Linked DNA regions of Mytilus edulis. The protein of the gene in region 1 binds, or shares a complex with, the protein of each later gene. Links are inferred from orthologs where the notes say so. Each region holds a gene or a part of one and is shown on either strand. Other genes may lie near its edges. The genes, in order: vacuolar protein sorting-associated protein 33A-like and vacuolar protein sorting-associated protein 8 homolog.

Region 1 (17,034 bases):
TATGGTTAAAGAATTTTATACATCAATCATTTGTTTTTAATATTTTATGAAAAGAGCATTTACTTTTAATTATTATATTTTCTCACTTTCAACACTTCTGTCCAGCAATTAACCCGTACAGGGCCCCACCATTACTGCTTTCCATATACGAAACTAACAAGTTGTTACTTCAGTGCCCAACTGCATATCAACATCAATTCATTACACATCTATTGTTAAAATAATTATAAACTGTGAAGTATTGTTTAAAAGTTTATTTTAATCAAAGCCTAACAATGTACATTGTACATATGGGTCATAGAAACAAATCTATTTTTAGAACAGGTTATTTTCGTATCCCAGGTAAAGGAAAGTCTGAATGCAAATAAACTAAAACTAAATGTGTTTATAATCTTTATTTAAAGAAACAAAATAAAATAACACATATGACACTATAGTAGACATAAAAAATTTATTAGAATAAATCAACATTCAGTATATTGTATGTGGATTACAGATGTTCATCTTTCTTCAGGGATTTCTTTTACTGATCTGTTCTATCGATGTTATTTGACTCTGTCATTTGGCATTTCGGATATAAGCATACTCCGCTTTATTGCATAATTTTGTCTGACAAATAGGCTATGCAAATAACCGGAATCTACTGTACTTACTATTATTAATATCAAATATTTCATCTATTAATCCCTCATATGTTAGCTGTGACAACAATGGGGTCAGAAGGTCAACATTACGATCCAGAATCAATAGATGATCTATCTGTGGTGTTATGTTGGGTTCCTGCCCACAAAGTTCTCGTCTCATTCTCAACATCATGTCCACTACTTGCTGTAATTAATAAATTGATGAGATAAGTGAGAATTCTATCAATAAAAAAGAATGTGTCAGGGAACATGTATACCAATTTTTCAAGTTAAAAAGGGGCATAACTTTATACAGTAAATGATTCACAACCCTATTTCAAAATCCTGTTTTCAAGTTGTAGTTTTAGCATTGTATATGAGTTTTTTAAAATTTGGACACAACATACTTAAGCAAGAGTGTGGAAACAAAAACATTTGCAATTGGATGGACAGACAAAGATAAAGTAATATGTCCTCAACATTTTGTTGTGGGGGGCCTGGGGGTATACACATTTTGATAATCTTTTTGAATTACAGTGTTGAAGAAATAACTACAAAAACATTATCAGACATTACTTGGCACATGAACAGTTATCCCCCCTTGCTAAGTAAAAAAACATTCCACTGTAGTTAAAAGGGATGATTTGAAATTTGTGCAGGATATCAAACTTTTCACCCTTCTTTATATAGCATGAAAAGGGAGAAATTCAACACTTCACAAAAATTATATATCTACTCAAAATACCTTAGCACAGTCTCCTTTCCCACAAATATTAGGTATAACACCATAAAGCGTCTGTAGTGTCATCAGGGACTGAGCAGCATAATGCATGCTGGTAAAATCATTCTCAAGGTAACATTCCTGTGAATCAAAAGAAGTCAATTTAGTCTGTAGTTGCAGAAATGTGAGTGCATTATATTTATATACTGTGATTGTTGAACATGGACAAAAATGTAAAATCCTTTATTGTGATTTCAGGAAATTTGGTATGCAAGTAGTGCTATCATAACTTAAAATGTATGTTTTTATTTTTACAAAAACTCATCTCATTTAAATTTTCACAATAACAAAAACAAGCAAAAATTTCTGAACTTACTTCAATCTGTTTATGTTTTAATAACAAGAGTAACCAATCAATTTACATGAACTTCAACATACTATATTTTTACCTTATAATGTTACTAGTATGTGTAAAATGAGATCAAATATGAAGAAATGGACCATTTATAAAGTAATGTATTGTAAATCAACCAATTAACTTATATCTTGGAAAACAATACAAAATATTGAAATACAAACTACAAAAATAGCATGTTTTTTTCTCTTTGTTAAAGCAGTGTGGTGACCTATAATTGCATACTTTCTGGTCATCTGAACTCTGTTTGATAGTTATCTCATTGGCAGCCAAATACCATCTCTCCTTCTTTAATATTGTTTAATAAACAACTTTTCTGATATTTCTTTACACAAATGTATAACATTGATACTTCAAAATTAGTTACCTTAAAAGAATTATCCATTTCCATTGACATCAGGTCATAATCAAAAGGAATTAAACTCAGACTAAATTCTTCAATATTTGCCAGGGTACCGTATACACCTAAATCCTAAAAAAAAAAAAAAAAAAAAAAAAATAAAAGCAGTACTGTATAGGCCAATCAAAATTAATTGCTAGATTTTCATCCCCGCCCGCCCCTCTGAAATCGTCCCGCCCCGATTTTTTTTATTTAATAAAAATACGATTTCCGGATTTTGTTCATGTCCGTTACCGGGAACCATCGATAATTTCGTTTCATTCAAAACTTCCAGTTTCAAATTTCGTTTTTGTGTTTCATGTTTCTTCGAGTAATCTAACGAAAATGATTAAGTCGACACATGCTGCTGCTCTATGATGACAACATCGTCTATCGAGAATAGAGCTTGATAACGAGAAGGGCATGAAATATTTAATATACAAGTAAAACGCCTTGTCCTTGAACGCAAATTGCGGTAGTCACATAAAGTGAATCGAAAACCGTGTTGCTTTTTTTATTTATACAATGACTTTGTGTTAGGAAATTTGGACTGTGAATCGTAGAACAAATTGGTTAAAAAAACATGAATTGATTAAACAAATTGACACAAGCACGAACTTGTTTGATTTATGACCGTATATTGAGAGAAAACAGCAAACACCCTCTGTAACTGTCCCAATACCCTCAATTTAGTCATTAAACAACAATTACTTTTTGGTTAAATTCATGTTTTACATCATAATTACTTTCAACACTGAGTTTACATTTTATTCTGTACTCATAATACTTGTGTTGCATACAATTATACCAATACATTTTATTGATTTTATGGGGACTACAAACCATTGCTTAGAAAGCAAAATAAATTTGGTGTAGGTATAACCCAACTGAAGAGAGCATTTCTCTTCTTTTTGATGTATATACTATACATAGGTTTCTAAAGCGACAATTACATGTATAACAGTGGTTGCCAATCAGGGATTTTTATTTAAGAGTTTAAAAGATAGTGTAGAATTCCTTATACAGCATGTATATACATTATACAAGCTTGCTTTCCACTTGCATATACCCCGGGATATGAAGAACTCGTGACGAGGGTTTCATATGAAATAAAATTTAAAAAATAAAATCCTCCCACCCGCCCCGTTTTTTTCAAAAATTTGGATGAAAATCTACTAATTAATTTTAGTTGGCCATATATAAAGCAATATAAAACTCAAATAAAATTGTTTTCCACACAAAAAATTCACAAAAAAAACATTTGTTTAAATTTGGCTTGTGAATTCAAAACTAGAATCCCATTCTGAGTTCAGTTGGATGAAAAATACAAACAAAGTGATATAAAAAACCTCAGTCAAATCTAAATATTTCATTGTCCTTTACATTCTTTCCTCATTTCTGTGACTAATCATCAAGTATATATTTAACATCAGTACTGTTAAACCATTTACAGTATCTTTCAGTGGTTTTCACGAAATTTCTTGGGCTAAACCTAGCCTGCAGGTTTTTTTTTTTGCACTTTGTTATCCCAGATATTTATTCTTTGTAAATTTCAAAGTTGGTCACAGGAATATTTTCATAACTTTATCTAATCATAAAAAAAAAGTGAGAAAAAACACATGTGAAATAACTACTTATTCCCCTTATATCACTGGTCAGAAAGTCTCCCTGTTTTAATAGGATTCATGCACAGTTGTTCTTTGGGTACATTTGATTGTCTTTTTGTTTTGTTTTTCTCTCCTTTTCTTCAATTTGAAAACAGTAATTGTTTGTAATAGCACTTTACAAATTTGTACACTAACTATGGGTCATAAATAGTTGTGTGTGTATTTGATTTAGGCAATATTACTTGGGATGTTGGTTGTAGGTGGTATTTAAGAAGTCCCTGCCTACCCTACAATATCCATCTTAATAATTGCATAATCTTCAAAAACAGATGCTGAGAGTCTTGGAAAAACTTTTGTTAGTCAATTGGTCTAGCTGAGCTAAATCATTCATACCTTTAATCTTTTCTCACAAAGAAGGCTTTTTCTTGGGACAAATATGATGTGATATTCTTTCCTAAATCCTCCTTTTTGTTCTTCCCTGTAAATACATGTATAAAATACATACAAATTCCATTCATTTAATTAACACTGCAAAAGTTTTCAACTATCAAAATGTAGTTTATTTTGTCATGTTTATCCTGAACTACATGTACAAGCACACGTAAACATTTTTTTAAAAATTATTTCCTACACATTCTAAAGCTTAAATCAAGCTCAAAATGGAGCTTAAAATCTGGATTAGGCATTATTAAAATGTAGCTTGAATGTGCAACATGTTGTATATCCTTTTTAAACGAAATATCATACATCTTCAAGTACAAATTGTAGTATAAAAACAAGAAGATAGACTGTGTACCAGAGCAACATGTTAAGAGGATTTTTAACATGTTAGAACACATGCAAAGAATCAACAGGAAAACATATACAGTGGAGTCCCCGGTGTACGCGCGGCCGGTGATACCGCTCATTCGCTGATTTCGTTATATCAACACAGTAACGCAAATAAAATTGTTCTTGTTATTGTTTTAGCATTCCGAAGATAAAAAAGAATAAAATTGATAAGTTCCAGATTGAAATAGTAACACTAGCTTTGCATACAAATTACTCTGTTCCAAATCATACAGTTTTTGGCCTTACTTATAAAACATTGAAAGACAAACTACTCAGTGTTTGTAGTTTGTTGCTATATATCATATTTGTTTTTCAATTGTTGTTTTATAAACAAATACAGCCTTTAGTTTTCTAGTTTGCATAGTTTTATATTTGTCATTTTTAGGCCTTTTACAGCTTACAATGCACTAAAGTTTTGTTCATTGATGGAAGCCGTACAGTGGCCAATAATTGCTTTTATCTGTGTCATTTGAACTCTGGTGGATAGTTGTCTCATTGGAAATCATACCCCATTTTCTTATTTCTATACTGACTGTAATAAATTCTGTGCTATGAGATCCATGAGTTTCAATCTTGGTCTGGCTATAAATATAATATTCTGTACATTACTTGGTGGTAGACCAGAAGTCTGCAGTGGAAACATCTTCTCAACTTCATGTTCCTATTAATAGAAACATAAAAATATATATCGAAATTGTTAACAAAAAAAGTAAAACCGTTCTCTTAAAAATTGTATAATGGTAGATATTTTGCAGAACCATAAAGTTTTTGCTTCCCTTTATGCTAAACTCTTAATACACTATCACTTATAGCAACATATGTAAAGATGTCATGCAAAATCTAAACTTCTTGGTTTAAATTTGTTAGATATCAATTAGAAAGAATTCAATTAAACAACAGCAAAATAGCATTTCATTCCACTTGCACAATTTTTGTGTGAGGCACAGAAACTAATAATCAATGTCGGTTAAAAGCTCATCAGAGCTTATGATCAATGTTTTAGTTTGCATACTTTTCAGACTCTAAATAAAGCTTTTATCTTATTATTTATTACCAATATGATGCAATAAAAGCAAAATATGCATATTGTTCCTGTGTATTTTTTTCCATGCATAAATCTTTAAATCTTTAATCACCAACATTATTTTAGATATAAAATGTCATTGAAATATGGAACATTGAATGTTTTCATATCTGTATGTATTTTGGTAATAATTGAAAATGTGAAACAGGGTGATTATGAATGACTTGTGACAACAATCTTTCTTTGTCATTTGTTGCTGATAATAATTTTGATTTCCATTTATTGTTTTGTACATAAACATGATCTGGCTGTTGGTTTTCTCATTTGAATTGTTTTTCATTTATCATTTCAAAGCCTTTTATTTCTTGCTAGTAGGTTGGCTTGTAGTTACTAACTTCTATGTCATTTGTTTACTGTAAATGAGGTGGATGGTTTTAAAAGCCAAAATACATATATAGAAATATCAAGAAATCAAAGGAAATAAAAAAAGTTATTTTCTGAACCAAAATTCATTGTATTACTAAATTTACCTTCAGTAAAGAGTATTCTGCTATTAAACCAAAAGGTCCAGTCAAATCATTATCCCATACTAATGCCTGAAAAATTAATCACTGTTATTAAATAAATCCTAGACAATATAACTTCCTATTCTTGTACCAAAGAAGAGTAAATTTAAATTGAATACCTGCTACACTTCCATTGAAGTCATAAATGTACATGTTTAGAGTCTACAAATTAAAGGAACATTAGTTTTAATTCATATTCAACATTTCAAGTACTCACTGTAAAAACATTTGTTTTTGAAACACTAACCCAGTATCTTTATTGTCTGAATACAATAATTGTGCTCAAAATTTTTATGATCGAATTACAAGAACTTTAAGAAGTCAAATGTTGTTGTGTCAAAATATCAGTTGTCAGCTGCTCTATGGTGGGGTTGTTGTCTCTTTGGCACATTCCCAATTTCCATTCTCAATTTCATTAAAGTTATTTGGAAAAAAACATAATGATTTTCTGACCTAAACATGTGAAGATGATCTACCATGTTATTTCTATTCTTTTTGGCCTCCATAGCAATCTCTAAAAAAGGTAGAGATTGGTTTTGGGGAAACAGACAATATGTATTCTATTCTTGGCCTTTATCAGTTTCAGATCTGTTTTAAAAACAATCTAAGTTTGAAAATATCAATACCATAATGAAACAAATACATGTGAGAAATCAGTGAAGGGTTATACTTATACAAGTAATTTATATTCACTTGTAGATGTCAGATGTATGCCATTATTTGATATATACTTGTGTTATAAAGTAAATCTGTAAAATTTATATTTTTTTTCAAGATTTGAATAATCTCCCCTTCTCCAAAAGTGTACCTGTATATATACAATGATATGAGTACATTGAAGAAATTTTATTTTGAAACCCCTAAAAAGTTCTAAAGTTAAAAACTGGCCTGAAACAAACAATTGGACTAGTAATATGTACTAACTAATAAAAAATGAAGACATTTATTTTATATTTGCAATACATACATTTATTTATACATACAATTTATTTACTGTAATTTTTTTTATTTACAATGACAATTTCTACAAATCAAGTACATGAAGTAAGTGGTTTTTAAAGTCCGACACATTTTTGATGAACGAAATTGCGTCCGCCACGGTTACGTGTACATACAGAAGTTCTTAGTATTTAAGTTACAGTTAGCAAACTTTGCTTTTGATGTATCAATTTGGGTCAAGTTGCATAGCTGTAGTGTATGAAATTTATGTCTTGATTTTGTTTAAGTTTGACGGTTTAAAACGCATCCCAATTTTTTAAGTTTTTCACCCTAAACAAAATTGGTTCAAAGTATAATGACAGTAATAAGAGTAGGTGTGCAGTTAAATACTTTAAAAAAGAGAAACCATTGAACTATATGTTTCGCCTTTGACACTCCTAATCTTGAGTATTATCTTTAAGAACATCAAAACCATTAATACGTAAAACTATTCAAGTTAAACACCATTTGAATGTTGATTTATAATATTAAATTTATCAGTATTACAAGTATTGTTTAGTACATATGAAAGAATTAAGCAAAACAACTATAGAAGATTTAAGTTTAATAAATCTAGCGTACATTGCTGTTTTTCATGTAACAATAACGTAATGTAACCGTAGCCTCAGTAATTATTGTTACATTCGTAATTAATCGGTTCCACACCCAACTTTGCATTCCGGCAATTAGTCTCCAATGTAACAATAATACTTTTATTATTGTTACATTTCCATGTAACCGTAGCCAGTGCCTAGAGATTTTAATCTGACATAAGGAAAAATGTGAAAACATGAATTGAAAAAGAAGTTTTTTTAGGGGTCGCCCAAAACTAAGACCTTCAACTTAAGAAATAGGTTTCCTAAACCATTAACACCACTATAGATTGACTTATTTGGATGGTAGTATATAGCCTTATCTGGTGCTGATCTGTAAATATATTATTTGGTTTCCGCCCCCTTAGCTTACTCTTATGTCCATTGGGGTAACTAGAATAAACCACACATATATTGATTATGAGTCTGCTTGCCTTAGAGCCAAGACATTTGTCAAGAGCTTCTAAAAGCTCACGTCTGTAAAAATCTCTCAATAAACTCAGGTTTATTTTCCCACTTGACAGGTGAGAACCTCCAGTCGAAGCCATGATGGAATAAATGTGATTACCACAAACAGAAAAGTTTTAATGTAAGAACGCAACGTCCCAATTTGCTAATGTTGCTATCTTCTTCTATTGCATGGATGTCCTTTCACAATCATGGAACATAAAATACAGCTGTGTGTGTCTATTGAAACGCATCACACAATTCTATTTTAGTCATAAATCTAAAAGGACTCTTTTAAACAGTACAAATTAGGGGTTGGGGTTGGGGGGGGGGGGGGGGGGGTATTTTTTGTTAAATATAATGTTAATTCCCTGGTAAAAGAATCTCTAAAAACAAACATAAATTTACATTCTGCAAGAATTTATTCTTGGTACTCATTTGAAGATAATTACTCTAATATTAATGTACCTTTTAAACAATCTAAAAACGATTTAAAATGTAATATCAAAAAGTGTGATATAGTAGTTTCAGTTCAGATGAATATGAAAAAATACTTTAAATAAACTTTCAAAAATGGATTCCTCATCTAAACTTTGTCTATAAGAGAAATTAAAAAATAATTTTGAGTCTGAGGTATGATTTAAATTCAACTAAATAATTTTGTCATAGGCAGTTACTCTCAAAATTTAGACTTAGTGATGATTCCCTAGATATTGAATTGAGAAGGTATACGGAACATTCCAAGAACACAAAGATTATGTAAAAGTGTGGAGTCCTAGATGACGAATTCCGTTTCTTTTTGTAATGTGACACTACTAACATATCATTTCGTTCTAATCTGTTGCAAATCTAAAAGAGTATGTACCATTATTTCAAAGTCTTGATGCATTTAATAAACTAAAACACATTCTAAACCACATCCCTGAACTTGTTTGTCATATTGGAGTCTTCATTAAGCAGTCTTTAGAACTGAGGGGGTCAGACCCATGTCAAACAAGCTTATGATGGTTTACGTTTTTTTACATAAATTTATAATTGAACTATTAAAATTATTGTATTACATTGTATTGCAAGCGTATTGTATATAATTGTTTGATTGTATTGCCTGACCCTTATGGGTGTAATTTAGCAATACAGATTATATATAATTATACAAGGCAGTCTCTGATTATATGTATAAAGTTAGAGTCTATGAGGAGACTTTTTTACAATAAAAGTTCAGCGGGAATAAACTTAAAATTCAAAATAAAATGTTCTTGCGTTTACCAGTTTGTGCTGTATTTCTGTTACCCAATAAAGCCATGCAGTGTTGTCATTTTCGCGATATTTTTTTTTAAACATTGTCATAAAGCAGGGGGTTTGGCTAGCCATTTAACCAGGTTCAACCCACCATTTTTCTGAAAATGTCCTGTACCAAATCAGGAATATGGCAGTTGTTATCAAATAGTTTGGCTTTTTTGTGCTTTCTTTTTTGCACTTCAGTGTCCTTTGTTTTTCTCTAGTTGATGTGTTTCCCTCAGTTTTGGTTTGTATTCCGGATTTGTTTTTTCTCAATCGATATATGACTTTTGAACACCAGTATACTACTTTTGCCTTTTTTTTTTATCATGTTATACACTTACAGTATATACGTAAAGCGTGAAGAATGTCCTGTCTATAGAAATAAGAGTCCTGATCATGTGGTGTGAGTGACAATGCACGGAGACAACCTTTTATTCAACTCACAATGTGTAAAATTACACAGTAATAGTTCAAAGTACGGCCTTCAACACGGAGCCTTGGCTCACACCAAACAGCAAGCTATAAGAAAACCTCAATATCACTAGTGTAAAGCAATTCAAGCAGGAAACCCAACGGTCTTATCTATATAAAAAGGAGGAACGATAAGTACTTATGAACCACATAAAAAGGGATATACTTATTCAAAAATATATAACTGTTCAGTAGCCACTTTATATATAATGTCAATTTATAGATTATCTCCTTGTATGCTATATTCGAGTCCTAGCTTTTAAAAGTCTGAATCAGGGAGTATGAAATTTGTAACATACACTTGCGGAAAGATTACGGATTTTGATAATGTCCTTCTTCTGGAATATTACACAGTTGTTGCCGGTGAACAGTTGATAACAAGCTGTACATTCCAAGTCTATGGTCCAATTATATTTATTGTATGATATTTTCAGCTCTCGAAAGGCTTATTGTCTTTACTTATATAGAGCTGGACAGTCTAGAAAGAAATTAATCTTATCTTCCTTGTCTAATTTACAGCAGTTTGGGTGCTTCCTGGGATGATTTTCCCTGGCCAACCAACATGACCAACATGGCTTGAAATAAAGCATAAGGGGCAAATGTAATGTATGTCTTTTATCTTATAGATATAGAAATAAGTCAGATAGATAAAATCGTTAGTCAACTCCTAAGAGGAGTTATTGCTATATTCAAAGACAATTTTCACTTTTGTGCGTTTTTGCCATCTTGAAAATTTTAATACATAAACAGAAAAATGTAGATAAAAAAAGAGGACACACAATTTAACATGGTCGGATTTTTTTAATCAAGTCCTATAAAAGTCATTGTCCTTATTTTATCATTATGCCTTTTTTTTTTAAGCATATGCCTTTTCCAGTACGGTGACCCCATGTTTTTATTTTCTTATTTTATTTCAAATACGAAAGCTTTTATCGAATTCTTATCTAGAAAACATTGATCAATTCATTTCAAAACTATGAGAAAAAATACAGGTATTTTACAAGAGGATAAAAATAATATATAATTTCTACTAACAACAATAATCTTTTATGTGATACAGACTGTTTATGAAATATTACAATGTCAATTATTACAAGTTATGTTGGCTATTTCAAAAGCTTTTACCTACAGCCTAAAGGGTATAAGATTTAATGGCGATATTATTTAGATCCGAATACAAGGATAGTCAGGCTTTAATTTCTACATTCTTCTTTATTGTAAAGCAGGATTTTCTGGTCTTTTCCATCAAAAGCTATGTTAGATAATATGATACAAGTGATTGGCAACTCCATTTATGAATAATGACCATATCTTACACACTCCTCAGTTGGATATGGTTTAAAAGGTCTTAAATAAACGTTTCTTTTAGTATATAGATATTATGAATGATGATAATTATAAACGTTCAAAATTGATATCATGGTCTGATATTGAAATTTGAAAGAAGACGCAGATAAAATTGAGTCGACTATGTTGTTATGGTTCCTATTTCTGTCTTGTAACGTTAAGGGTTGATAATAAAAAAAAAATGTATGATTTTATAAACCATATCAAATCAAATAAAGTTTGCACTAGCTTTTAAAGCTTGAAGACAAGCTGGGTGAGATGTTTTTTTTTTATCCTATTCTATTGATATTGAGCAAAAAACAATATAGCTCTGTAATTTTTATTCCCCATCCCTGTTATTATTCTACTATTCTAGTCAGTGCCAGGTGTGTAAAGACTAACACCTTTCATTTATAGGCGGCATTTATATACACTTTAAGTTACCGTGAAAATTAATGTAAGCTTTTTATATATATGTACAATTATATGATAAAGAATTTTACTTAAATAAAAATTAAGCATATTGAATGGTGCAATTAATTTACTTTCTTACATTACTTTGAAATAACTTTGTTAATGGTTCTTTGCTAAACTTTTTGTTGGGAGACGTTATTATTTTATTAATGTTAGAAAAATAAAACACAAAATCTTCAAAATTTTGTTTTTAAGAATATTAATTTTAGACAATTAAAATAATATTTAATCCTTAATGATCAAATATATTTGTAATTTATCAATATCTATTGGAAATAACTGAAAAGTAAACCGGCTTTCAATTTAGGATCCCTGTATTTCCGGTGCATTTGTTTACCAACAAATTAGCTTCAAAAACAGACGAAAGCAACACCCTTTACCAGTCTACATACCAAAGAACAAAATTAAAGCACACATGACCTATAAACCATAAAAAAAAATATATCTGTAATGGCACTTCCGGTGGTCTTGAATACAAAATGATGCGAATATGATAATTGGTTCCTTGTTTAATCAATATTCATGGATGTTGATTATCTGTGGTAACTGTTCCGAGCATCTTCAATACACATTGTACTGTGGGCTAGTACTATAGGAGTTCAGGGGCTTATGATTTAGTATGAAATATTAATGTTACATCTGGGACTCTTGGACTCTTCTGAGCATTCAGCAGACCTGAAGCTCAAAATGGAAGGCCAGAACCCAACAGGTGAGGTTTATTGGTTAAACTTTTGATTTATTATATTATGATTTCAATTTTCAGCCAGTATGCTTTTTTATTAGAATCCTTTTTATTAAAATAAAGCATTTATATTTTCATTTAATTTTTTGCAGAATCAGAAAACCGACAGAATCTGTTAAGAGCTGTCAAGAAAGAGGTTAGTTGCTATATATGTTGTTAACTTTGTGTAACCACAAATAACATCCCTTTGATATTGATACAAAAATCAATAGGATAATTTATGTTTAATGTGTCACTGGAGATGTAATTACAGTTTTCAATTGATTAATTCTGGGACAACAATCATAATACCCTGATTTTCAAAGATAGCATAAAAGAAAACGGAACGTTAATTAAAGATATTTTTTTTACAAAGATTTTTCCTTTGATATCAAACAGATATAAAAATGATATGTTTAATCTTGGACCAATAGATTCATGTTTAACACCAGATTTAGCATCTTAAATAAACAGTTATATTTTTATCAGGCCTGTCAACTTTTTCATAACACAAATTTTTTGTGAATTTTTTATTGGACAAAAAATTGTATTAGCTCACACATCAATTAAGCAGCAAGCAAATCTAAATTTTCATAGCACGTACTTCATTCCATACAGGGGTAATAATATATATAACATTTTGCAATGATTGATTGATAGATTGTAGTCCAGTAGCAAATATTTCATGCATAATTAAGACAAAGCAAATTAATTCATTTATTTGTGTTATAGTCTTTATAGTGGGTCTCATTGGGGTCTAAGTGTGACGCGAGATTGCCAATTTTTTGTAAGCGGGACACGTAAAAGTCAAATTATTGTGTCGTGAAAACGGGAAATGAGGTCTAGTGGGACCTGGGAAATGACAATTGCTTACATACATAGTGTAAGCGGGATATGGGAAACTGACCAAACAGTAAGCAGGATCCGGGATGGGAACCCCCCCCATGAGACCCCCTTTATATTGAAAAAGTCTTTAGTTTTTTTGCTGTAAAGTCATTGTGTCGGTTATTTTCTTCATATAAATAGTGAATTGTTGATAATAAGAGATAGCTGTACAAAATGTAACTTATATACAGAATGATTTATAAGGGTAATGCTGTCATTTTAGTGATACTTTTAATATTGTTGTATTAAAGCATAAGGTTTGGCTAGCCACAAAACCAGGTTCAATGCACCAATTATTCTTAAAATGTCCTGTACCAAGTCAGGAAAGGGCAATTGTTATCTTATATAGATATAGGAAGATGTGGTGTGAGTGCCAATAAGACAACTCTCCATCCAAATAACAATTTATAAAAGTAAACCATTATAGGTCAATGTACGGCCTTCAACACAGAGCCTCATAGTTATAGTTCATTTCTGTGTGTGTTGCAATATTGTTTTTTTTTTTTTGTTGCACTTCAGTGTTTCTGTTGTATCACTTAAAGGATCTACTCTGGACATTTCAAGCTTGACACATAATGTGTAAATATTTGGTCTATTGTTGTAGAAATTATACAGATTTGTATGGTTGAATACTGAACACCTAACTCTAATTGTGACATGGTTCAGTTGCTGTCTTAAATATAAAGTCCTTACATCTGTTTCATGTATTTGTAATTAAAGTGCCCATTCTTTCAGCATGTTCAGCTGAAAAATTCCCATGTGACATGTGCATGTGATATGTCCCAAACATTTTTTAAAAGAGAAGGTAACCTTTGCATGTTATTTGCATTCTTGATTGATTGATTGATTGATTGTTGGTGGTTTAAAGCCACTTTTTAAGTACATGTACCATTTTGGGCTGTTTCTTGGCAGCCAGTTTTTAGTGGTGGAGAAAGCTGAACGTTCTGGAGAAAACCACTGACCTTTGATAGGAAACTGACAATCATTTAATTTAAGATTGGAGTCAAGTGCACCAGCGTGGTCAGGGTTCAAACTCACAACCTCAGTGTTGACTGGCTGACAACTTGACCACCAAGGCCCATTTTGCACAGAGTTTTCTACTAAGTCTTGAAAAAATGTTGCCTGCTCTTTGGCATGTTTGGTCGGGATGTTGTCTCTTTATCATATTCCCATTTCCATTTTCAATATTACTTGTTAATAAGAACAAGTAAGTCCATCTATTATGTACATGTATGAGGGGTAAAATTCATGTTTTATTTTTTTATATTTTTGTTTTATATGTTATCTGCTCTTTGGTCGGGTTTCTGTCTCTTTGACATATTCTATATTTCCACTCACATTTTCATTTCAAGTTAAACCCTCTAACCATGTTGCTATCAATTGTTATTTGATTCAAAGATAATCTATATATATTTCACCTGCAGAAATACCAGAGTCAATTTTAGAATTGCTAGAATTTGATGATAAATAAAAAGTGGAGGCTGAATTCATGACATGGAAATGTCAACTGTTTTATTAAAAGATCAACTGATATTTTTAATATAGATTGAATGCCTTCTTTTAGCTCACCTGGCTTGAATGGCCATGTGAACATGCGCAATCACTTTGTGTCCATTTTCTGTCTGTGTGTTGTAAACTTTTTTTTTTAAATCTGCTCAATGGGAATGAAGGGTTGATACCAAAGTTTGTTTGCTTCATCTGTAGAATGTCAACTATAAAGTTTGTGATTTTGTCCATGTTGATCAATCAGCATGGCTGCCATGTCTAAGAATAGAACATAGGGAACAAACTGAACATGCTTCATATTTGGCTAATGTTTAAAACTGTAGGATTTAGAGAAGAAATTAAACAGGTGATAAGCACAACAATTTTTATTATAAACCCTGTATAATTTGAAAAAATCTGTCATGCTACATTGTATATTGGAGTTATTGACCCTAAAATTTTATTTATTTTAACTTTGTTTGCATTTTCTTGCTGTTGTTTCAAAAAAAAAGTAACTATAGATTGGCTATTTTATAAGTGATCTAAAAAAAATCACCACAATAAGATGTATTCACTGAGAGATTATTCTAACTAGTTATAGCCCTGGGATATCGACTTTATAGTGTTTCTGATCCTTCATAAAATTGAGAATGGAAATGGGGAATGTGTCAAAGAGACAACAACCTAACCATCATGACTATAGAGCAGACAACAGCCGAAGGCTACCAATGGGTCTTCAATTCAGCTAGAAACTCCCACACCCAGAGGCGTCCTTCAGCTGGCCCCTAAACAAATATGTATACAAGTTCAGTGATAATGGATGTCATACTAAACTCTGAATAATACACAAGAAACTTAAATTAAAAATCATACAAGACTAACAAAGGCCAGAGGCTCCTGCCTTGGGACAGGTGCAAAATTGTAGCTGGGTTAAACATGATTTTTGAGATCTCAACCCTCCCCCTATACCTCTAGCCAATGTAGAAAAAACAAACGCTCAACAATACAGAATGTTCCTTCTTCATCCTTCAGGTTCCTCTTTCAATATTTTAGGGCCTCAGGTGGCGAAGTGGTCTAAGTAGTTCATCTAAAGTGTGCACTATGAGACTAACCCTTCCCTACTGGTTGCAAGGTGTGTTTGACTCTGATCTTAATTGCATGACTTTGATAACAGTTTTCCTACTGAACTTCAACAGTTCTTTCCATGTTCTTGGTTTGCTCCATAAATTAAAATGGCAGCAATGAAATAGCTATGGGTGCTGAGAGAGATGTTGAAGACAAACTATCAATCAGTCAATCATATTCAATACTTATCAATCCCATTTACTAAATTGACTGTTAATTACTATTCCCATGAGATATTTGTTGTAAATGATCAATTAATTCCCAATCCACCATTGAACCAGTCTTGTTATTTTAGGTAAAACCAATTAATTGAGAACCTGAAATTATCGATTATTTAAAAAAAATATATCCAATAAAAGAGAAATCTTGCTTTGTTGCACTTTCTCTTTGAAATTCAGAAGACAGTTTTTTTGTACAATGTATAGCATTATGTCAATTAAATATGTCATATTGAAAAATATTTCATTATCTGGCTAGTAATAATTTAGCAAAAAAAACAGACTTCAATGAAGGAAAATCAGGGTTTCATCTCTTAGAAAAAAAACAGGTTTGTCATAATATTTTTAGTTGTTTTTTTTAACTACCAAAGTGTAGATCGAATATATGGTAGGTAGTGAAATGAAGCATCTTTTTCCAATTTGATGATTTCTGGTTAGAATCTCAAAGAAGACTGTAAGATTAACATCATCCCCAGTTTTTGGTGGGGTTAGTGTTTCTTTGTTTTTATCCCCCTGCCATGAGGGGAATAGATAATAAAGTGTTACCCTTGACAATCTGTCTGTCTTTCCATCTTTTTATCCTTCTGTCTTTCCGTAATGTCATATTTTTAGTTACAAGCTTGAGGGGGATGATATGTGTTCCATGATGACACAATCTTCTTCTTTTTCTTTCTTTTTCTTTATTAAAAAAAATTTCTATCGAAGGTCATGGTTTTCTCTGGGCACTCCGGCTTCCTCCACCAATTGAAAACTGGCCGCCACGAAATAGCCTGAAATCTTTTATTTAAATTAATGTAATGTTTTGTAGACTGTTGTGGTTTATATTTTCTATCGAAGTGGTTTTTTTTTTTGCCTTTATTTTGT
Region 2 (17,040 bases), on another chromosome or scaffold:
ATGGGCTTGGCTCATTGTTGAAGGCCATATAGTCACCTATATATATAATTGTTAATTTCTGTGTCAAGTTTGTCTCATGGAGAGTTGTCTCATTGGCAATCATACCATATCTTCTTTTTTATATCTATGAGTTTCATGTGATTATGGTTTATCTTTCAACTTAACCTAATTAGTGAACCAGTTTTACAGTTTTTCAAGTTTATAAACCATATTCTGTTTAAAAAAATAATTTGATGAATGTTTTTATACTAGTATTACTTTATTTAAATAAATTATAAGTACCTGTGCAACATATTTGTAGCCTTCATTTTTTTGACAAACAGCAGCAGACAATCTGTGAGCTAAACTTCCACTCTCACTGTAATGCTTGTCTTTTGGGGCCTTTGATCGAACAGTGTTGTTAAAGCTTTCATTAGGATTACTGGAATCTAGTTTGCTCATCTTTCCCGGGTCAAGGTCTGTAAACACTTTTAAAAGATCTTTTTTCAAGTTTTCATCTTTGAGATCTGCACCCCATGGTAGATTTCTGTGCTTTGCTGTGGGTTTGTTTTTCATTTGGCACCAATCTCCACATCCATCATGATTACCAAACTGGTGTAGCACTACAGATGGTAAACTGTTCTTTATTCTGTCTGAGTCACCTTTGTTTTGGGCTAACATGAAAGAAAAACTTTTAATGAGAGCAGTAATTGTTTTTACAGACAGCTCTTTATATTTGCCTTTTATTTTGTGGAGCCTATTTGATATGTTCTTCTTTACATGATTGATGTCACTGACCTTTTCCAAACATGAGTCGACTTCACATCTTGCCCGATTGAATGCTGTGCAATCGTCATCTCCTATTAGTGTAATTACCGGGGTATCTTTCTTTTTGGCGTCTTTTAGTATTTCCACAATCATGTCTGGTTCCATAGATTTGGCTGAGCCACACCAATTCTTACGACATTTATGTTTTGTTGGTAGCCGTTTTTTAAATTTTGCCACATCACATTTCCTGCATCTCTTATATCGAGCACTATAGCCAACAACCTTTCCTGTTTTTTTCCCAATCATGGAAGCTGTTCCTACAAAAAAAGTTTTCCATTGAATATTTTTTTTAAATTACTGGATTTCATTAATTACGTGTTACACCCACTTTCATGTCAAAAGGAATCTAGCTCCTCATATATATTATTCACATTATTGTACCCTTCATAAAAATAGTTGATACCAGGAGTATTTTTAATGTATTTTTATTCAAATTTATTTCATTTTTATAACCCTGTTCATTTTTATACACATATGTTTTTCTGCTGGTGGAAAATATTCTTTTTTACCTCTATGCCTTTTTCAATTTAGTTTTGCCAACAAACATAAACATATTTTACATACAATTTTCCTTACTTACAAAAAAACCAAAAGAGAAAAAAAAAAGAAAATGTGGTATGATTGCACATGAGACAACTCTCCACAAGAGCCCAAGATGACATAGAAATTAACAATTATAGGTCACTGTACGGCCTTTAACAATGAGCAAAGCCAATACAGTATAGTCAACTGTTAAAGGCCCCTAAGTGACAAATAAATCAATATTGTCTGATGAAGTATTCATTTTGTCCAAGAAACCCGTAAAAGGTAAACAAGATGGATAAAATCCAATTGTTATAATTTCTTTAGCCAAATTCTTTTGCAAACGATGAATCTTTCATTGCAAACATTTTTTTTTCTTTTCCAAAATGTGTAAAAATGGAGGCTGCTTCCAAGAATGATATATCTGTTCAATATTTCTTAGTTTTAAGAAAAAAATAAGTTTTTTTTTTAGTTTTAGTATGACATGTAAACAGATCATAATCATGATAATACTTCCATCTTAAGATAGGTAAATAATAAAGATATAGTTACCAGACAAACTATTGTAACACCTTCCTGAGCCCCTTCTCTGATAAGCTCCGTCTGCTGATGCTGTTATTCCAGTTACACTAATAGGGCCACACACAGGATTAGTGTTATCTGTTGAAGCTATTCCACTACTGCTTGTTGCAGTTTCTGACCCACTAGCAATGGCATGAATTGCATCACTGTCATTATCGGCTTGTAAATTACCTGAAATGAAAAAATGATTGACAAGTTAAAAGATAAAAGCACTACATATGGACAGCAACCCTACAACAGGTCAGGCAATGTCTGATTCCCCTGAAAATTTAAGGGAATATAGATCTTGACCCCATGTCAAATATATACTAATTGCTTTAGTTTCAGAGTTATAAGCCAAAATCTGCATTTCACCCCTATGATTTATTTATAGCAATGGCAGCCATGTTTTTTTTACAAAAGAGAAAATAAAACACAAACCTTGTACTAAAGAAGGATAATTAAGACTTAGTTTGGTGTTCATTGTTTCATAGCAGGTTTTTTGAAAGTTAACAAACTCAAATAATAGACAAATTACATGTGAACAAAGCCAGATCTAGCTAGCCTCTTGTTTATCATATGAATAAAGTTCTATTTTTCTTTAAAGACTGACATATAAAAACTTATGTTGCGTTAATTATGATTTAAACTTCATTTCATGCTCATTCAAAATAGTGCTAATTTTCACACAACAAATCACATTCACATTAATATTCATGACATGTGTAGAGTGGTTCAATCCTTTGTAGATTGATATTCAATACTAGAAAATATCAGGCTTACACAAATCTGTCATTAAAGAGTCATCATTGATTTACTCACAAGTTTTTGTTAGCAATCCCTCCTCAAACAAAGCATTGTCTACGGACTGTTGTGCTATATTTTCAAGAATAGGCCCAACCTCTTCACAACGTCTTCTTATCAGGCTTTCACTGACATTTGGCAAATTTAGTGATGTAAATAAATTATTAAGCTGTATTGGTCCTATTCCACTGTGGTACATACCTGAAATATTAATTTTCATTTAAAAAATTGCAGTATTTGTATGTGTCAATACATTTATGTACATATAGGAATCTGATGTACAGTAGTTATCATGTGTTTATGTAATTTATACATGTTTCTCGTTACTCGTTTTTATATAGATTAGACCGTTGGCTCCAAGTTGAAGGCCGTACATTGACCTATAATGGTTTACTTTTATAAATTGTTATTTGGATGGAGAGTTGTCTCATTGGCACTCACACCACATCTTCCTATATCTAACATATATATATTTTAAAACTAAAAATTTGAACAACAGTACTAATATAAGGTGACATACTGCAGCTGTGCTATATGAGCAGTCAAATTGCATCAACTATAATTCATCTGTGATAAACAGTCAGTGATCGTACATGTATATATCCCCTTGTATATGACGTAGACAATGGGTTTCTGTACAGTTTAATTGATGACGTCAATAAATTATACAGGTTGGCGGAAATTTTACGCCTTTGGCTTAAAAGTAAGAAATGATAGTTTCTACTCTAAATACATCAATTAGATCAGTTATAAGAGTTGCAGTTTATAGTGAAACAGCATACCTTGTTTCGAAATATAAATTTTATTTGTACTTGGCTGGAAAAAAACTTTTTCTCGCCACAGCCTCGCTTTCTATCTGCTTCTACATGTTGTAAGTCTTGTACAAATAACATTGATATTTCGAGACATCAAAAGATAATAACCAAAGGCTGCAAAATTTTCCTAAAATTACTAATTCCGGGGCAGCAGCCCAACAACAAGTTGCCCGAATGGTCTGAAAATTAAAGGGCAGATAGAACTTGACCTACATGTAATGAACAATTTCATTAGAAAAATAAGCCAAAAAACTGCATTTTACACTATGTATTTTTAGCCATGGCTGCCATCTTGATTCATGGGGGGGGGGGGGGGGTCATGGGACACATCTTTTTAACAAGATACCATAATGATAAACGGAATGATCATGATGACTGTGGACAAGTTTGGTTAAATTTTTCTTAGTATAGTTTCAGAGGAGAAGATTTTTGTAAAAACCATGATGGACGCAAAGTGATGAGAAAAGCTAACTTAGCCCTTTTTACTAATTTATATCTTTACTTAAAATCTTGCCTTGAGCTGATAGACAATTTAATTTTTATGTGGTGTTTTTTTCATTAACAATTAGCAATTTAATGATCAGTATATATCTGGACAACTGATCTGTCAAATTAATTGCTATTTTTTTTTAAAAGAAACAAAAGTAATTTAATGATTTCAATACACAAATAATATAAATATAAAAAGTCTGGTTAAACAGTTTTCTATATATAGAACAAGGAGACTATATCAGACCCTAAAAAAAGAATAGGTTTGTTTGCCCTAATGCTACATGTACCTTCCTTGAAAATACTACCTACTTAAAAATCTTTTATTGTCCTAATGTGAAAATATTTATTTTTATTCAGATAGACATGAAGAAGTTATAAACATTGATACTTAAATTTCTCATAGCCAAAAGAAAAAGAAAAGAAATAGCCTACCTACATTGTAGCAACAAATATACCCACTTTCTCGATGCATAGATTGGGTACTAAGGGTTTTGGCAAACCAAAATATTTCTAAGTGTGGCCTCATTCTGACACCAAATTTTCACTGATTTTGGATATATCCACATTGCGTCACATGATGTTAAAGGTTTTGTTATAAGAGTCAGGGTTCTCACTAGGAATTTTTCATGGTGAGTCCTGGGACTCATCACTTTTAGAAATGGTGAGTCCCAAAAGATTTTGATGAGTCCAGGATGCAATGTATTTTTTTTGTGTCATAAGATAATGAAATGTGACGAAATACAACTTATAAAACGATGCGTGTTGGGTTGGTAGATTTTATTAAATCAATAAAAAATATGACTTCTTAATAGTTATTGCTCAAAATTTATACATGTTACAGACTTCTTTCTGGGTCTATATCATATCCTTGATGTGGGGCCACATTGAAAAAAATGTTGGTTTGCCACAACCAGAGTTCCATAAAAAAGATCAGGGCAATAGTCTGAGTATTTGGTGCATAGTACAGAATAAATTTAAAATGTACATGTACAGAATATAAAAAAGAAGATGTGGTATGATTGCCAATGAGACAACTGTTCACAAGACAGTTTTTACAACTAAAGGTCACTGTACAGCCTTCAACAGTGAGCCAAAGCCCATTCAGCATAGTTACATGTAGCTTCAAAAGGCCCTGAAAGCTATATCATAATTATGTCAACAAATTTAATCACAATCCCAATTCAGACAGTATCAAGCTGGAATATTGTGTCCAATATTGCCCCAATTGTCAGGGTTTGATAAGCGCTCAATGAAGCATTTTATTCTACTGTGTAAAGTACCTTTTCACTGGATGATGTAAGATTTTGGTTCTGTAAATTTGATTTTGTATTTTTTACATTCTTGCCCGACAGAAAAAAACCAACCAAAAGCAATAAACTAAAGTAACGATGATAGTCCGTTGGAAGGGGACGAAAATTGGCTGACCCGTGTTAAGAGAGAGTCATATCTCTTGCACGGAAGCAGGACAAGTCGCCCCACTGGCAAGTCGCCCCACACCTAATCGCCCCACTTTTTCACCAACTCGCCCCACTTTAAAAAAAAACGCCCCAACCTGGATTACCAAATCGCCCCACTTTTTAAAAAATCGTCCCACATGTGAAATTGGTTTAATCATGTTAAATATTTATTTTAACTCTATTCATACTTGTACTATTCATAAGTGGAAATATTAATACTCACTTCTTACTGCTATATTAAAAAAAGGGAATAATATAAGAAGTTTCTATAAGGTTTTCAAGGGGATAGCATCCTTTTCCATAAGTGGGGCGAGTTGGCAGGAGTAATATTCATGGAATTTAACTTATATACAATGGGATAACATCTTTTTCTACAAGTGGGGCGAGTTGGCAGGAGTAATATTCACGGAATTTAACTTATATACAACGGGATAACATCTTTTTCCATAAGTGGGGCGAGTTGGCAGGAGTAATATTCACGGAATTTAACTTATATACAACGGGATAACATCTTTTTCCATAAGTGGGGCGAGTTGGCAGGAGTAATATTCACGGAATTTAACTTATATACAACGGGATAACATCTTTTTCCATAAGTGGGGCGAGTTGGCATTACTACATTCATCCTGGTTAATAATATAATATAAATCTAGATTATTATCATTTTCTTTTAAGTGGGGCGAGTTGGCAGGAGTAATATTCACGGAATAACATCTTTTTCCATAAGTGGGGCGAGTTGGCATTACTACATTCATCCTGGTTAATAATATATTAATCTAGATATTATCGTTTTCCATAAGAGGGGCGAGTTCGCAGGAGTAATATTCACGGAATTTAACTCATATACAACAGGATAACATCTTTTTCCATAAGTGGGGCGAGTTGGCTTTACTAAATTCATCCTGGTTAATAATATATTAATAATATATTAATCTAGATTTTATCGTTTTCCATTCAGTGGGGCAAGTTTTCAGGAGTAATATTAACGGGATTTAACACATTTCACAAGTGGGGCGATTTTTTAAAAAGTGGGGCGATTTGGTAATCCAGGTTGGGGCGTTTTTTTTTTAAAGTGGGGCGAGTTGGTGAAAAAGTGGGGCGATTAGGAGTGGGGCGACTTGTCATGGATTCCTCTTGCACGTTAAAGACACCCTTGTAGATTTCGAAAAAGAGTAGGCTAATGCTACTACAAGGCAGCACTCGCAAGACATCATAATTATTTGCAGTCCAGGAATTGGTACTAGGTAAACATGCTACATGTGAATATAAAGTATAAATATACAGGGTGTGCAGATTTTATTTTTGCACTTACCAGTTGCAAGTTTGGTGTTGACATCAAATATCCTTGGCCCATGGGATGCATTGTGGGTTTTGCCCATGGCAACACGTACAAAGTCATTACAGTTATAACAACGAACAATCAGGTGACCACATAAACCAGCAGGCAAAATTCCAATTCCATCTTTTAACTTCAATGTAATGTCACATCTGGAACATCTCATATTATCAAAAAAGGTTTGAATGTCAATCACATGTCTGGTATAACCTATTGGCTTTAATTTTCCAGAAAAATAGAACTCATTGATCTCATCAAACGATGCAGAGGATTGATACGTGTGATCATGTTGGAAAGAACCTGGTGTAAAAGATGTATCAAAATCGGGCGTAAAAGTAGTATCAAAATCGGGTGTAAAAGTAGTATCAAAATCGAGTGTAGATGGTGTATCAAAATCAGTTGTGGATAAATCGGGTCTAGATATGTTGTCTAATCTGTTGTTGTAAGTCTCTGCCTGACAGTTTTTCAAAAACCGACCGTTCTTCTTTCTGCTAGGCATGTCGTCTGATATAGTTTACATTGCCGTAAATGGCGCGAAACTATGTCGTAAACAATAATAACAGTATAAATTTAAATAAAATATAAACTACGATCAAAAATTGATTTATTTTATCATTTTAGTTCCTAAAATAATCAGAAAAGGTATTGTTTATATTTATTTTATGTGTTATGTTATAACCGTTAAACCAACTACCGAAAAATGCCCGAGTTGCGCAATATTCAAAAACGCGTTCTAGATCGGGCCTCGTTAAGTAGCAAGGTTTATGCCTTTTTAAAATGCTATCTGTTTGCTGTAAATTCTATTTTAGTTGAAAAAAATGCAGTAATAATGGCTTTACTAAATGAACTGATACTTTCTTCACAGATTTTTCCCAGCAGTGGGAGTATTTTTCCTGTAAAGTTCAAGGTTTCATCTTTCAGATTATGTAATAAAATTCTTCTGTTCGCGATAAAAAATTCACTGCTCGGGGGTGTTGAAATTAGTGGGGGTTATTAAAATAATAAAACTTAAAGAAGTGACTTTTGGGAAGGAAATTGAGGTATGATACTTAAACAAGTGATTTTTATGTCATTATCCTAGATTCAGTACAAGGTCATCACCTGAAATGACTTGGTCATCCTATCAACACAGATGTTGTTTCTGATAATTTTAGAAACATAATTAGTCCCTGGATCATTAGTCATGTTAGTATTCTATATTTAAAGCTACGATAGAATTAAATCACTTCTTCAAGTGATTAATTTGTACTACTTAAATAGGTGATTATTAAAGAAAGACAACCTTACTTCCAACATTGATGGAATTAATGTTACTTGAATCAGTGATTTAGAAAATCACTCATTTAAGTAAGTCCCCTGACTGTTAATGTGTTACATACTATTTTTTTCGTTCATAAATTAGGCCCTTAGTTTTCTCTTTTGAATTGTTTTACATTTGGACAGGCCGTACAGTGACCTATTGTTATTAATTTCTTAGTTATTTAGTCTCTTGTGGAGAGTTGTCTCATTGGCAATCATACCACATCCTCTTTTTAATATTTACAATATTTTCATCCTCAGAAATAAACTACTGAGTCTGTCATGCCTGTCACTTTGATTTATAGTATGGATCCACTATTGAACTGATGAAAGTTCAATTGATTGTTGTAATGGCATTTGGGAGTTTTTCTATGACTCGTCAATACCATGCAGTGTAGCAAGTACAAATGGAAATATCTATAAGAGAGTAGTAATGATGGTATTGGGTGTACAATATACTTTCATAACGAATAACGGTGAAAATTCTTGCCAAATGATGTTTACAGTCATTTTTGGTGCATGACGATAAAATATGCATTTTTAATATTATAGATGATTAAAAAAGTTGCTCATGCCACATCTTCCTATATCTACTTAAATATTAAGACCTACTTGTGAAGACTTCACACTATAATACGTGACTATATCACACATAGCATGTGCCATATATTACCTCAATATCAAAATTTATTGGTGCTGAAGGACTAGATTTTTCTGAGCTACCCGAGTCCATAACTTTTGGGAGGAGAATCTGAAAGCCGGAAGTAGTAGAAAGATGGAAAAATTGAAACTTCCCCGGACACACTTCCGCACATAATGAATTATCACAGTATTTTAAATTTTGAAACAGACAGCTAAAACACCAACGTGTTTAGGTAATTATCATCTGATCTTACATTTTACAAATACACGGCCACACGGCACACGATCTACAAGAGATCGTGGCAATAGTATTAAACGAATATTTGATTTGGAAAAAATGTTGCATTTTGTTTCTCTCCCCTTCCTCGAATATCTCTTCCGATATGTTTTTCATGGGAACATACTTATAATTAGGTCCTTACAAATATGTCAATATATATTGTCCGTGTTTTTTTTTACCATAAGTTGCATACAGATACATTATTTAGAATCAAGGTAATGATTTAATGTTTAAAAATCAAAATTTATCTGTTTTGGACTGGTCCCTTTTGTTTTGTTTCTGCCTGAAGAATAAGTGATTGGGATATGTTCATTGGCCGATTAGGAAGAACTAATTTTGAAAACACTCAGTGACTCACACTGTCACAGCACCTATATATAGATACAAGGGTACCGTCAGTCGTCAATGGTTATATTCTCGGGGGGGCCACTTCAAACTTTTTTTGGTAGGGGTGAGCAGCTGAGACATCAAGTACCCCACCCTTTTCATATATTTTGTTAATAAAAAATATATACCTTGTCATATATTAATTTACCAAAAACAGACCTATAGATATATTTCAATATTTTCACCGCTCATCATCACGTTCTTCTTAGGAAGCAAAATAGTTGCAATAAAATCACCTTCTTTTCCAATAAATTCGTCATATCTTAAACACTTTTTTCTTATTGCCCGGCCATTTTACATCTTTCATTATGAAGATATCTCAATTCCAAAATACAATACATGTAAAAGACGTTTGGTCAGATCATAGATCTGCCTGGTATTACATCTATGGTCAGATAAATGTAATATCACCCCAGAGTGTAACACCTTCACTGATTTTTACATGTTTAAATATTAATTAAAAACTGATAAAAAGTTTCATTGCCGTTCCCTCGTAAAGGACGCTGTCACAATGGAATTTCTTTAAATAATTGTTATTTTGTTTTATGTATACAAACCCTTGAATGATAATTAGGTGCAAATGTCAAAATAGTTGGATTTATTGCATCTATCACGGGCATCAGTGGAAATACCACATCAGAATAAATAGAGTTTAATTGGTTTGACAAATAACTGATGCATTTACGACTGTGGTTTAACCGCATCAAGAATAAATACGGACATCTGATTAGTTTCAGATACTTATGATATAATCAAGCAAGTGATAATATCAACCTATTGATATATTTCATCTGAATTTCCCACCCTTTTCATATATATCATAGAGCATGAAAAAGTGACCTATTCCAGCGGCTCATCCCTACCACTAATTATATAGCAAGTGGCCCCCCCGAGGTTATATTAAGCTTCTGTTAGTCGTTAGCCTCAAATGGGTCAAGATTTCATTGCAATTCGTCAAAATATCCTTATCGTGATTTATCAGAGGTCTCAAATATTAAATTTTCATTACCGTTGTTTTGGGAAAATGGGTACATGTCGTTTTTGTAACCTGGTCCTTTCGTAACTAGTCGATTCGTAACTTACTAGGTTGTTTCGTACCTGATATGTTTTGTAACCTTATATCAAGATAAAATAATAGTATGAGTGGTAGGTTACTTAAAAAAATGATAAAAAGACCTATTGATGTACACATCATGGTGCATATATATATATCTATATTTATTTATTAAATAATTGATTGCACATAATTTTACACTTTACAAGTACAGTTTTTCAAGTAAAAGTCTGGTTTAAATTTCTTCACTATTTGGAGACCAAAATGTCGCAATGACTTTACTTTTCTCCCGCCTACACCATTGTACATGCGATATATACCTTGTGAAGCTTTGTTTCGACAGAACTTGATAAGTCAGATTGCGTTCTTAACATCCAATTTTCCAATCTTCGGATGAAACTGTGACCGATCACAAGCTTAAATTTCGAATCGACCCAGTGAGGTTAAGAAATGACATGCATCACAAGCTTATTTACTATTAGTGACTTTTTTTTCTTTTTAATTTAAGATAGTTTTAAATTAAAAAACCATTACCATGATTACAATATTGTTTTATTAGATTAACAATTTGATCATTTTAATTGTCATTTATAAATAATAACTTTAAGTGCTTCATTTAAACTTATTAATTTTAACTAACACTTTATAACCATATATAATTACACCAGGTACGAAACGTCTCAGTTACAAATTAACGAGTTACGAATTGACCAAGTACGAAACGACCAGGTTACGAAACGACATGCATTCGGTGTACATTTTTTCATGTTTATAAAATTGAGAATGAAAATGGGGAATGTGTCAAAGAGACAACAACCCGACCAAATAAAAAACAACAGCAGAGGGTCACCAACAGGTCTTCAATGTAGCAAGAAATTCCCGCACCCGGAGGCATCCTTCAGCTGGCCCCTAAACAAATATATACTAGTCCAGTGATAATGAACGCCATACTAATTTCCAAATTGTACACAAGAAACTAAAATTAAAATAATACAAGACTAACAAAGGCCAGAGGCTCCTGACTTGGGACAGGCACAAAATGCGGCAGGGTTAAACATGTTTGTGAGATCTCAACCCTCCCCCCTATACCTCTAACCAATGAAGTAAAGTAAACGCATAACAATACGCACATTAAAATTCAGTTCAAGAGAAATCCGAGTCTGATGTCAGAAGATGTAACCAAAGAAAATAAATTATGTTCATGCACCAAAAATTACTGTTAACGTCAAATAGCAAGAATTTTTAAGGTTATTCGTTATGAGGCTACTTCATTACAACCCTTCTATATTTATGAATTCTAGTTACCCCAGCACCAGTGATAGTCAACTTGGCAATTGAAGTAGTTATTTCGGCATAACCAGTCTGCGCCAAAAACTTTTTCATCTACTAGTCTGGATACTAAATATCAAAACTTTTCCCTATATGACTATTTAACATTTTGAAAATTTTCACTAGTCCGAAACTATATTTACTAGTCTGGGGCATCGGTTTAGTGGCTAACGGTGCAGACTGCATAACAAATACCTTCTGAACATGACGTCCTTCAAACGCTTTGAGTACACACCAGCGTCTAAGTGGTAAAATATGAATATATTATTGTTTGGGCTGTTCCGATCTTACTCCCACGTCATTTGCCTTTTTATGAATGAGCTAACCGACATCATAGAAAGATGACGTCAGAATATAAGCATTTTACGGGAAATTACACGCTTTTAAACCCGAAAATCATCACAACAAGGAAATGTAAATAAACGATGCTAAAATGTATTATTTAAGCCATTTTTTGTATACATAAAAGACATATAAGTACAATCATGACAATTATCATTCACATGATTTAGATTCATCTTAAACTATCTAAATATGTTATTGTGAATAGTTACATCATATCACTTATTCAGTTTTCTCTGTTCTTTTACATCAAATTAATAGTGCGTTTATTTAAAGGAACGGCATATAATGCCTTCACCTAGAGAGCTTTGATCCAAAGCAGTTGCTGTATTTGTCGTATTAGAATAGAAATAATTCATGGGGCTTGAATATATCACAGGTTGTCCCTTTATGCAGATATTTGTCATAAAGGGCCAACTTGTGGTAAAATCACAATATGTAAGCCCCCATGAATTATTTCTTAACTATAAAAGTTTTGTGAAATATTTTTCTGTACCAAAAATTTTATTGCATGTTATTTTAAGTCTAAATGAAATAAATGCTACATAACTAGTTTCTTAAACAATTTAAAATGTAAAAAAAACAATCTGCATGATGTGTGGCAAATTAAACTTTCAAGTTACCTTCAGACATGTCAGACTAACACCTTTACCAACTTATTGAATTCTTTGATTGTAAATTGGGTGTATGTTGGTCAAGTGGTTCATCTTCTTTATCAACTAAATTGTGCATTTTAATTCTATCCTATTTGAATTGACTACAGTTGCTTGTTTTCTGTCAAAGATAATGGTGGTTCTCTCTTTGTGTTCAGACATCCTCCAACTAATAAATCTTGCCATCACAACATACTCAATAGTGTTGTAATTAATCAACAAGCTATCAATCAATTAATTAATAACCAAGCTATCAATCAATTAATTAATCACCAAGCAATCGATCAATTAATGAATCACCAAGCAATTGATCAATTAATGAATCACCAAGCAATCGATCAATTAATCAATCACCAAGCAATCGATTAATTAATTAATCCCCAAGCAATGGATTAATTAATTAATCACCAAGCTATTAATCAATTAATTAATCACCAAGCAAGCAATCAATTAATTAATCACCAAGCTATTAATCAAACAATTAATCACCAAGCAATCGATCAACTAATTAATCACCAAGCAATCAATCAATTAATTAATCACCAAGCAAATTAATCAATTAATTAATCGTCAAACAATCGATCAATTAATTAATCACCAAACAATCCATCAATTAATTAATCACCAAGCAATCGATCAATTAATTAATCACCAAGCAATCAATCAAATAATTAATCATCAAGCAATCAATCAATTAATTAATCAATCTTTATTAAATGTTTCTAATTTCTCTTTTTTCTGTTTCAGGTAGCTGATAATATGTGTCTGGAAGATTAATCAACTTTTTTATGTTTTTTCTATCATGGATGCCAATTCAGATCTTGAGGAATATAGTTCGAATGAAATGTACATTTTACCGGGTGATGAATTGAAATTAGAACGCCAGTCAGAAGAAGATTCAAGAGAAAGCTCTTTTTGTGTGAGCACAGTTTGTGACAAAATTTTTGCTTGTTATGTTTGTTCTCAAATATTACCATGGGCCAGAGTTTCATCAAGAAATATGAGACCCTTTCTTGAAGGACAGACTTATATTTGCAATTATTGCGACAAAAAAAGTTCAGAGAATAGTCACAAACCTAAAAGTCTTTTGGATGACAGGGATAATGAGTCCCTCAAAGCAGCTATAATTGAAAGTATAAACAATCAAGGAATTAATTTTGACACTGTATACCAGTCTGGAATTATACATCCACCCTGTGATACCAGTATATCAACATCAAATCCTGGCGATGTCACACATACAAATTTAGAGGATTATCATCCCTCTCTTTCTTCAAAGGGAAGTAACCTATTTGAAGCTCATTCTTTAAAAGTTGGTAAAATTCAACATCAATTTGATGAAAGAAAACTTGAAAATGAATTGAGAGAAAATTATACAAAATTTCAAACAGATTCTCAAGTCATAAATGTTAATGGAAATGCTGAAAAAGATTTAGTAAAAAAGTATCAGAATTTAACAGAAGAGATGTTAAAGCATGTGGAAAGACGTTATGAATGTTCTTTATGTGACAAAAAATTTAAACGTAGTGCTCATCTTCAACGTCATCTAAGAACACATACTGCAGAGGGGCCGATATTTAAATGTGATGAATGTGATAAATGCTATAGAGATTCATATAATTTAGTGCGACACAAAAAGTGGCATCAGAAAGACGTGATTCCATTTGATCCAAAACCATTCACTTGTGGCATCTGCGAGAAGAAATTCCGTGATAATTATGATTTGCAGCGCCACATAAGAATACACACAGGTGAAACGCCATTTAAATGCTACATGTGTGATCAAGGATTTATAGATAACAGGAGCATGCAAAAGCATGTAAAACAACACAAAGGGGAGAAACTCTGTATTTGTCCAATTTGTAAAAAGGGTTTTATTGATAATAGGGCTTTGAATAGGCATATCAGAACATATAATGGAGAACTTCATTACAAGTGTGATATTTGTGACAAGACGTTCAGTAAAAAAGCAGATGTTTTATTTCACATGAATACACACTCCAATAAACTTCAATTTAAATGCGAGTTTTGTAAAGAAAGTTTCAGATCTTTGAGCAATTATGAAATGCATAGGAAAATTCACATTGATCAGATAACATCTATTGTTGCTACAACATCAGGGTTAGGGAATGGGGAGGATGGGATACCAGATGCACAGGTAAATAGGGAGGAGTGTGGGTTAAAGGGGGAGTAAATGGAAAGGAATACAGTATAGTTACTTACAGATTCAATTTGTCAAATTAGTTGCGCATTTAGCCTCTTGTTTAAAAGAATACTTATTATAAGTTATATGGTTCCCTTCTAACCCCCTACGGATCGGTATAGGGTTAGTAAAATCCATGGTATTCAACAACTGATTGAATTGAATTTTTACAGAAATTGCAATCAATTATTTAGTCAATTTTATACTGTTATAATAGGAATAAGAGCAATCAATTGTTGTTAGGATTTTGACACTCATATATCTGTATATGTATGTTACTGTATCATGTGTATGTACTCAATTCACTTACTGTGACAATATTGATTAAATTGAATCAACTGTCTCGTCTGGTTTGCAATAGTAACATGAGTAATTAATATGTTCAATGATGTCAAAAAATGATTTGTTTAAAAATTGATAGATTTAATCTACTGTCTCATTCTGTTTTCAAAACTCACAATCGTTTCTGTCGTGATCAATCGTTGAACATTTTATCACAATAGCAACATTGAGCAAGGAAATACAATTTGTTAGAGTTGATCAATTTTTTCAACTGTCTCATCTGATTTTTAAGCATCACAATCATATCTATCTTATTCAATATTCATGATAGCTACTATGTTTTATCAATTTAATCAATTTATTGTGTTGATCAAGTTTATTTATACATGTAGTAACCAATTTTGATAAGTTGTAGCTCATGTACATGTATCTATCCTAACTCTTTTTACATCTCAATTGAGTTTATATTTGCTTATCTAACTTGATCCACCATATCAATGTAATTCTGTAACTATAAATGAAAAAAGAAAACATAAACTGAAACATCAGTTCTTGTGGTTATAGTTTAATTGTATTCTCAGTTATGAATTGAACAATATAAACTAAAACATTAAAGAAATAGAGCATCAACGCGACGCGACAAACGAAATTAAAAAAAATACAGTAATTTTTATTTACGCAAAATGTGATGCTATCCAAAATTTCTGGGTAGAACACTGAATGATAACTAATTAATATAAAGAGTGTTTGCAATTTTAAATGAGTTGATTGAGTTAATATATATGTCTGTGGTAATAAATTATGATCAGTCGTACAAAAATATGGCTTTTATTGAGTTGAAATTTGTAATTCAATCAACATGATCAATTAATCATTACAATCAGTCAGGGGTCCTACTTGAACAAGTAGTTTTTATTAAAATAAAGAAGTAATATTGATATATATACTTATCATGCTTATGTAAGTAAATTCGTAGGATTGAATTTTATCAAATGTTTATTTACTTGTACAGGTAAAAATAATGAATTAGTAATAGTTATGTCCCTTAGAATGTTAGACATTCAGATATTTTTACTTATATATATATGAAAAAGTCATCCTATCTTTTTTTTTCTTGAATTCTTAGAATTTCTTTGCAATGATAAATTTTAAATTGTCTGCCCTTCGCAGATGTCTTTACTAATCTTTTAAGTGTAATTTCATTATGACAATGAATGTCTGTTATCTTCAGATCACTGGTCATTTACAAGCCCCCAAGGAGCAATTTTTGAACCCTTCCCAAATACTTAAGATCTTTGCGCAATCAGTTTCTTTGTTGAATTAATGAGACGAAACATTGGACTCTGATAAAAAATTGATGTTTATTCATTAGGCTAAGCATTCGATTATGTATATGTACATGATGTAACAATCGATTTTTTTAAAGTAAGTTGTTTAATCTCATGGTATACATGGTACAATAAATTGTCAAATACTGTTCCTTAATCATATTAATTTAATGAATTAACACTCCAGCATATAACATGTATAACATGTATAATATGCCAATTAACAAAATGATTAACATCATGAACATCATAAATGAAATACTTTTTTAACTTAAATATATAAAATTTATGAATATTAATTCACTTATAAATTATTTGTAAACTATAACTTTTTATCATTGTTTATAATTAAAATTGCAGAAATGCTAATGTATTCTGTTGACGAATCAAGGGATAGTCACTAGCTAGCTAGCTGATAAATTTGGAGGTGGTGCTGAAAATTAAAAG

Evidence for each region.
Region 2: vacuolar protein sorting-associated protein 33A-like (region 1) and vacuolar protein sorting-associated protein 8 homolog share a complex: the UniProt entries of both Drosophila melanogaster proteins name them as parts of the class C core vacuole/endosome tethering (CORVET) complex. The link is inferred for Mytilus edulis from reciprocal best matches to the Drosophila melanogaster genes car and Vps8.

What each region holds. Positions count from the first base shown.
Region 1 is NC_092349.1:42,681,015-42,698,048, forward strand, and holds the start of vacuolar protein sorting-associated protein 33A-like, read right to left. Parts: upstream 8,302-17,034; 5' UTR 8,286-8,301; coding exon 8,172-8,285; intron 6,197-8,171; coding exon 6,131-6,196; intron 5,238-6,130; coding exon 5,110-5,237; intron 4,224-5,109; coding exon 4,139-4,223; intron 2,232-4,138; coding exon 2,127-2,231; intron 1,486-2,126; coding exon 1,369-1,485; intron 829-1,368; coding exon 654-828; intron 1-653. Other genes in the region: small G protein signaling modulator 1-like, read left to right, coding at 12,367-12,445, 12,571-12,614. UniProt on the Drosophila melanogaster protein: Core component of the class C core vacuole/endosome tethering (CORVET) and the homotypic fusion and vacuole protein sorting (HOPS) tethering complexes involved in endo-lysosomal vesicle trafficking and lysosome biogenesis.
Region 2 is NC_092357.1:11,533,937-11,550,976, forward strand, and holds the start of vacuolar protein sorting-associated protein 8 homolog, read right to left. Parts: upstream 9,012-17,040; 5' UTR 8,827-9,011; coding exon 8,767-8,826; intron 7,320-8,766; exon of another isoform or gene 7,294-7,319; coding exon of another isoform or gene 6,771-7,293; intron 2,896-6,770; coding exon of another isoform or gene 2,713-2,895; intron 2,083-2,712; coding exon of another isoform or gene 1,882-2,082; intron 1,065-1,881; coding exon of another isoform or gene 283-1,064; intron 1-282. Other genes in the region: uncharacterized protein, read right to left, coding at 283-1,064, 1,882-2,082, 2,713-2,895, 6,771-7,293; zinc finger protein 572-like, read left to right, coding at 13,583-14,974. UniProt on the Drosophila melanogaster protein: Part of the class C core vacuole/endosome tethering (CORVET) complex involved in endo-lysosomal vesicle trafficking and lysosome biogenesis by facilitating docking and fusion of endosomal vesicles.